Mus musculus: one gene and its partner. The protein of the gene in region 2 purifies or fractionates together with the protein of the main gene of each other region. This does not show direct contact. Links are inferred from orthologs where the notes say so. Each region holds a gene or a part of one and is shown on either strand. Other genes may lie near its edges. The genes, in order: Fbxw11 and Amer1.

Region 1 (3,813 bases), on a different chromosome or scaffold from region 2:
TCAGCTGTCAGGGCTGATCTTGTGCTGACTCTTGGCATATGGCTAAGTTATACACACAAAATCCACTGTTCAGCTCTCAGACACCTCCAGTTTCATGTGATATAGCCCATGATTTGTAGGGTGAGTTATCAGGGAACAGAGCTGTCCAGTGCTAACCATTAGAAATCCTTCAAGCCAGCACAAAGTCTCATGCTGGCAGGATCATAACATGGGACAACAACCTGAAAAACCATTTGCAGTTTCCTGCGCTGTTAGTCAATTTAAGAGAACTAAATGAACGTGCAAAAATGCATGGGCAAATGTTTATAGCAACATCATCCATGACTGCCAGAAAAGGAAACCAGCAACAGTCCATCAGCACAGAAGGGGAATACAAAGTGTGATCCAATTAGAGTAAAGATGAATTTGGCCACCAGAAGCAACAAAGCATGGATCTGTGCTGAACCCTGTATTACATGAGAAAGCCAAACACAAAGGGCCACATAGCTCATTATTCTGTTTACATGAAATGTCAAGAACAGGCAAATTCAGAGACAGAGGGTAGAATGCTGAATGCCTGGAACATCATGTGGAAGCAGGAGGGCTGAGTGAATGTTATCAGCATGGACAATGTGTGAAATGTCACAGAATCAATGTAATTAAGAGATAACATAGATATGGGAATCAGAACTGAATTTCTTACACCGGTGCTGCAGGTTATCTTAGTCTACAAATTGCTGGTCTCATGATTGCCTTCCGTCTGCCAAATAAACTTCTTGAAGACAGGGACACGTCTTGCTCATCCTTCTTTCTCCAGCCATCTAACCAGCACACAACAGCAAGCTCTCAGCAGTCAAAAAAACCAAATCTAGGCTCCACATGATTAGTTTGAGCCATGTTTGTGAAACAGAGACCTATCCTAAAAAAGTGTGTGGGCTGGTGGATGAGATGACCTGTATAAAACTCCTATACACAGCACACTCAGGGTGACTAGCCATGGAGCTCATGAAATTTGCAATTGTTCTCTACTGGGACCAATGGCTTTTTCTTGCCTTGCCCATGGCTCCAGAAGCATGTGGAATGGGAAGATCTGGTATGAATGCATAAAAAACAGACCCTGCCACCTGGTGTAAGCCATCTCTGCCTTTTCTCTGCTGTATAGAGATGGAACAGTCAGGATGAAGACAGCAGACACACTCACTTTAATGGTCCTGTCTCCTGAAGCAGACACGATGTATTTATCATCAAAGTCTACTACATTGACAGCAGCACGGTGGCCAACCAGAACACGGCGTAAAGTGATATCGGTGGCAGAAGCCATGTCCCACACGGCAATGGAACGGTCCTTGGAACAAGTCACCATCAGTCCATTGCTGAAGCGTAAGTGCAGTACGGCTTCATTGTGGTGGATGAGTGTGTTGAGCACCTCACCAGTGTTCACATCCCAGACTCTGGAAGAGAACAGAAAGTTGTGATGGTAAAGCCAGGGAAAGGTGACATGTGGGCTCATGCCATTCTTGCTGTACCAGGTGTGTGGTAGCACCAGCAGATCCCTGGCAGCAGCCTCCTTAATACTGATAAATCTAAGATGCTCTTAAGAAGTTAAATCTGGCTATACACAGGTTTATCTCACACTCTAAGAAATTAACTCAGAGATGTTTTCAGGTTTGTACCAATGACAAAGACAATCCCTCAAGACAGCAGGCTTTGAGTGAGTCTGTGATGACAGGAGTCTGACAGTTCCCACTGGCTTCTGGCATGCTGAGGAACCTGCTGCTTTCATCTGCAAACTAAGCTGTGGCATTTTGTCAGAGCACTTTCTGTCTGACCCAAGACATGGGGTGCACAGGTGTAGCATCTCTAGAAAAAGCTCCAACATCCTAAAGGATACTGTCACAGACCAAAAGATAACCCTGAAGGCTAAACAGTGACCTGAGGCTGAAGCAGCAGCCTAGAAGCCAAGCAGGGGCATGGGCAGCAGCTGTGCTGTGGGCAGGGTTAAACAAAGCCTGACAGTGTGACAGTAACCAAAAGGGGACATCATAGAATCCAGAGGTAGAATGAGCAACTATCCTATGTCCTGTGAATAAGCGATTGTCTCTAAGCATCTGAATCACATAAGATTTGCTGCTTTCCACTCCTCATCCCCTGTAGTCCCCCTCAGTCTAGCCAGCCTTGGCATTATGATGTCCTTTTCTCTGTTGGACTCAGTCACCTTGCCTGCAATCCTGAGACATGGGGAGGAGTGCTTTCCCAGGAGCACAGGAGCATATCTCAGTGACGCTCCCTTTTTAATCTTTGATACCCAACTACTAGTCACAACTCTCTTATGCAATGTCTTCTCCACTCTATCCTGGGTTGACAACTAAAAACTAAAGCCTCCACCATTAATGCCTTGTCTTTATAAAGACAGTCACAGGTTACTTAAACTCAAGGCTCAAAATGCACTGGTAATTTGACTCCCGGGAAACTATTTAACTTCTTAGTTTTCTAAGGTACCAACACAGATGAAGATAATGCCTAAAAGAACTCAAGCAGATATCCGTAATCAAATCTATCATCTCTGGCTCTCAGAGCTCACTTTCCCAAGGGTCTGCCAACAGCCTGATTTTCTCAGTTCCTGCATCCTTCACACTTCAACAACAGCGGACTTCTTCCCCTCTGCTCTGTTGGCAGGCTCCTAAGAACAGGAGGAAGGTAACAAAAGGCAGTGTGATTGGCTAGGAGAGCATAGTGCCATCTCTATACAGCATGAAGAGGAACAGGACACAGCTAAAACTCAGCCTCCTGCTCTATCTGCTTAGTACAACTCCATCAAAAAGAACCTGGAGATACTACAGTAAGTTAAAAATATGTCTAGAACCACAAATATGTGTGCATGCATGTGGATATGTATGTGTGTACAAATCTCTGAAGAGGGTACGCATCCTTGTCTCCTCAGGACTTTGTCTCTGAGATCAGAGCACTCACCTCACCGTGGAGTCTGAAGAACCAGTTACAATGACTCGCTCATCATACTGGAGGCAGAGGACAGAGCCTGTGTGGCCCGTTAGCACTTTCAAACATTCCAAGCTGCTTTTATCCCAGATCTAGTGAGACAAGATCAAGCACAGCAGCAGTTTAATACACACACTCACACACAGATTCCCACGCATCTTGCACTCTGAATCATCGAAGAAACACACAGTGTGTAGGAAACAAGATGAGTCTCAAACAGGTAGGAAATGACAAGAGGAGAAGAAATGGGGCAACACCTACTCGCATGCAGAATAGTCACACGGCTTTCCTTATGGTGTATGTAGCCCTTGGCCACTGTGCTCAATCAGCAGCTTGAGAAAGGGGTTTTTTTATAAAGTCTGGAAAGAGTCTCTAGTAAATAGTGACAGCCTCTATGACGGCCTTTTAGAAACACATACCCCCCCCCCTTATAGCTTCAAAACTTTAAAAATATAGAGCCTTTGTTCTCTCAAAATCCCAAACAATGAACCAAGAGTTCTTAGTAAGAAAATGTTACAAAGTCAAACTAAGCACTTAAGAATTGAAACAGGTCATGAGATGACAGAGCGGGCAGCTTCTGGAAGGGAAGGGAAGCAGGGCCTTAAGAACAAACGGCTCCTCTCAGGCCTGAGCTCTTCCTTCCCTTCCTTCCTCTTCTTCAGAGCTGCTCTTTCAGAACAGCACACACTGAACCAATCCTCCTCCATCGGGCAGCCTTTTTCACTCTGTCATGGCTTGTTAAGCAAATTCTTTTCAATGCTTTAAAGTTAGCACACTACCTGGGCACCCTGCAGCTTACCCACGCCCACTGCAGAACACCTGCTCATTCCCAAGGCC
Region 2 (4,300 bases):
ATGCCCCTCCCCACACCTCTACTTAGAACTTTAGAGGTAACCTGTTACCTACCTAACTTGTAGGATGCTTTCAATCTCTAAGACCCCATTTAAAAACCCTTTCAAAAACTCTATTATTGGGCTGGTGGTGGTACACCCCTTTAATCCTAGCATTCAACACAGGCAAATATCGATGAATTCAAAGGCACTGGCTTACAAAGCAAATTCCAGAACAGCTGGGACTACCTAGTGAAATCCTGTTTCAAAATAATAACAAAACCCCAAATTACCCCAATACAAATACCCCCAAACAATCAAACACCCTTCCATTCTTATCGCTGGTTCGAAGGTGCATCCACCACCCCCAACCCCTGACCCTGACCAGCCTTTGTTCAATGATCTAAAGATCTTCGCCTAAAAAGATTAGATCACCATTTCAAGGCTTGATGTTTGGCAGTTCCCACCACTGGGTCCTAAACTCTTTTGCACCTCTGAGTTATGCCACCTCCACCACTCACCCTGCCTGCCAGGCACTCCCTTTCATTTCTCATTCTGTCTATTCTTTCTCTACCAAACTCCTGTACTTCCCAGCTGCTTTCTAAATGCAGAGAGAGAGATCTCTCCATGGCACTTTGCCTGTAGGCTCATGAATCAGCAACCAAAAGTATGCAGAGCTCCAGGGTTTGAGCAGTCCAGACCCTGATAATAGAGGGAACTAATTATGACTTTCTTTTTGAATGTAGTAGCAACCCAATCCCTCTTTCCACCCACACTAGGTATATTATATCCATATCTGAGCCTTAGGCACGTTTACTTTATGTTTCATGGATTAAGGCAAACACAAGTTGGGAGGATAAAGGTCTTTTCTAAAGTTCTACAAAGACAGAAAGTCCTTCTGGAACATTCACTCATTAATTGCTTTATAAATCTAGGATCCTAGAGGGTTGTAGCTGAGGCCTAGGCTTTATTTACCCCTATGAGGGTTCTGAGAGAACCTAAATACCTATATAAGGGAAACAAAGCAGAGTCAGTGAAACTTAACTGTACAGGAGTTCCAAGAGGTCTGCTCATCTAGAAGCAGCCTGAAATGCCCCAAAGAGAAAGTTGGTTGAGAACTGAGGCCTGAAAGGGAGGGACTTGGACAAGTGTAGGATGAGAGTGTTTGAGTGTGGGAAAGGTGCTGGACTGAAGTCAAAGCAGGGCAGAGTCAGATGCTGGAAATAAAAGACCAGCTGCAAAGATGTGTTGAGGTCTGGTCAATTAGGTAGGGGTGAAAATAATGTGGTATCCCCAATCCTAGCTTGGGTGTATGTGTGTGTGTCTATATAGCTATATCTATAGATAGATAGATAGATAGATAGATAGATAGATAGATAGATAGATATCCCATGTTAACGTTACAAAGTAAGAGATTTATTTACTGGGTCTCAATGCCCCACTATAAAGCTGTCCAGCCTGCACAGTCCCTTAGTCAAATCCCCTCTCTTATTCTTCAGGAATGCCTTAATAGTCCAGAGTGGTGCACAGAGTAGGGCACTCGAAGGAATGGGCTTTGTTGGAATCTCCAATGGTAGGACAGAAAGTCCAACAATGCAGTGCCCGGAGACCAGTCCATACCAGTGTTGCTGAGGCAGGCCAGCCAGAGACGCAGAAGACATATGCGAACAGGGCTGTCTACACTTCTCTCAAGGCGAGTCCAGCGACAGGGAGGATGGTCCTGCTGTATTAGTCCCGCTGCCGCCTTTGCCTCCCATGGCTCATCTGGCAAGCTTAGCCCCTCAAAGGGGAGCTCAGGAGAAATCACGCCTTTGGGCGGTCACCAGTGTCAGAGGTGTCTGCAGCAGACAATGACAGCAGTCTGGCAGGCTGGGTATTTTAAGTAACTGAGAAGTTGTAGGATTTGTCTGCCTTATATATACTGTGTGTTCTTTACTACAACGACGGCCCCCTCCGCCTCTAGCAGGGAAATCCCCCCACAATATTGTGCCTATTGCTATTTTAAACCAAAGGCTGGAGAGAAAAAGAAAAAAAAACGCGCCCTATGCCCTACAAGGGAAAAGAGGCGCGTAGGGGGTGGGGGCGGCAACAAAGCGGCCTTGCAGCTCTAACCCAAGGGCCAGTAAGAGCTCCTGGTCCAGCCCGCCTGCAATGGGGGTGGGAGCCAAACGACAGACTGGAGGCCCAGGAGGGGGTGCGGCTGGTTGGGACCATAGGACCAAGGTTCCAGGATAAGTGGGAAGTTCAGAAACCCAACTGTGCTCCCTTGAGGAGGAACAGACTGTGGATATCTTAATCCACCCTAAAGCCAGTCTCAGTCTGGCCATAAGCGAGCGCGCCAGCTTCCTCTGCAGAGGAGAGACATAGGAGATGCACCGCAGAGGGGAGGGGCCACAGCAAGGCCTCGCGGGTGAGCAGCACCGGCCTAACAGCTGTTCCAGAAAATATACTACAAACAAAGATAAGGAGTTCCCGGCCTGCAAATGCGTTCTCCGGGTGCTGGCTAGCGGCGCCCTTCCCGGAACCACGCAACAGCACGTGTGGGCCCATCCCAGCCTCCCATTACAACCTAGAGGCGTAGCCCAGGATAGTCCGCCCGCCTTCCGGCCCTCCCACCCCACCCCCCAGCCACGGTCGCCCGGACCCTAAAGACTAACGGCCGCTGGGCCCTTCGCTGGACAGTACGCAAAGCGAGTTCAAAGAAAGACCAGCAAGAGGCTGGGACTCCGATCAGCCAGGCTCTGGAAACCCTAGTCCAGGAGACCAGAGCGGAGCACGCGGGGATGCACTAGACCTTCAGCAGGATGGCTCTTAGCTGTGTGCAATGCTTACCCTGCCAGGTCCAGCTCCCAGCGCTGTTTATTGTCTGCTGCGCTGCTCCGATTTGAGCTGGAGCCTCTGCTGAGAACGCCACCACTGCTCCTGCCGCAGCCTTCACCGGGACTACAGCAGTCTTCTGCGCCGACTACCCTTCTCCAGGCTCTGGGCAGCTCCCCCATACCCCCTTCACCCCGGACTCCACAGTTATAGGGTGGGACGTCCGTGATATGATTGGCAGGCATACAGTCCAATCATGACGGCTGGAAGGCATGCCCTCGCCCGCCCACTGTTTTCCTTGGTGCTTCTCTCTTTAAATGCAAATAAATCGGGCGTGGTATTGGCAGGGGGGCGGAGAGGTTGTCGAACCCCTTGCAGGGACTCCCTACTTCCGCTCCCACGCGGGGCGGGTTTCAGCGTGGCTACACACCCTACTCCCGGAGCTAGTCCCGCCCAAATGGGACTTGCCAGACTCTTGGAACTCGGTTTCGATTTTGCATACATTCCTCATTCCTTAACTTGGTGCTTTTGCGCTACTGCTCCCAGGTTGCTACCAAAGAGTTTCTCCACTCAGTTCGAGACTAGCTGTGAGAAGTGGGGGAGAAAAGGAAGGAGCCAGAGATTGTGGGGCCTGCAGAAACCTTTAGCACCATGGTTGGCTAATTATTAAGAGTGGCAGCAGGGCCAGGTGGCTGGTCTTCCCAGAGAGGAAATCACCTGTCAGGAAAGTGACCTGCCTCTTGGTCCTCCCACCCCCACACCACCTGGCTCCTTAGCCCTGCACTTTCCTTGCTTGCCCCAGGCTCTTAGGGAAGGCAAGATTGAGGTCAACTACCATCAGTGCTGCCTGGGAAAAGGCACTTCACCTCCGTTACTTAGACTGCCAGTAACTGGGACATATTTGGAATATAGACCTATACTTACCTTTCAGGGTACCTTTCACTTTTCTTCCCTAGGAAAATAACTGTTTTTAGAGTATACTATTTCAATAGTTGGCCTCTCACCTAAATTCCATACCTTCCAACGAACATGGAATGATTCTCAAGATCTCCAGGCGGGCAGTGGTGGCACATGCCTTTAATCCCAGCACTCGGGAGGCAGAGGCATGCGGATTTCTGAGTCTGAGGCTAGTCTGGTCTACAATGTGAGTTCCAGGACAGCCAGGGCTATACAGAGAAACCCTGTCTCCAAAAACAAAAGCAAAATTAAACAAACAAAGATCTCCAGAGCACACTTCATCAATTGTGAGTCTGGTCTGTGCAGATCCCTTTTCTAGATAGGGAAAGAAGTTTTGTGTGAGCCCTAACCAGAGGTCATACTGAGGAACACTGAGGAGGCCTGTCAGACCAGCCTTACAGGCTACTGTGTCTGGAATGTGGCAACGGGCCAGCTGAGCTTAGGCCTCTAACTAGCCTAAAGACATTAAGTGGCATTAGTAACTGCCAGTGCCAGGTGAGCTGGAGCAACAAAGAATCCGGTTGTATAACCAGCTCTGGAATGTACAGAA

The links.
Region 1: the proteins of Amer1 (region 2) and Fbxw11 purify together in Homo sapiens (affinity purification with mass spectrometry; 7 studies listed by BioGRID and IntAct, counting the BioPlex papers as one, with this or other methods). This does not show direct contact. The link is inferred for Mus musculus from reciprocal best matches to the Homo sapiens genes AMER1 and FBXW11.

What each region holds. Positions count from the first base shown.
Region 1 is NC_000077.6:32,732,755-32,736,567, reverse strand, and holds part of Fbxw11 (F-box/WD repeat-containing protein 11), read right to left. Parts: intron 3,069-3,813; coding exon 2,950-3,068; intron 1,431-2,949; coding exon 1,181-1,430; intron 1-1,180.
Region 2 is NC_000086.7:95,441,850-95,446,149, forward strand, and holds the start of Amer1 (APC membrane recruitment protein 1), read right to left. Parts: upstream 2,992-4,300; 5' UTR 2,809-2,991; intron 1-2,808. UniProt on the Homo sapiens protein: Regulator of the canonical Wnt signaling pathway.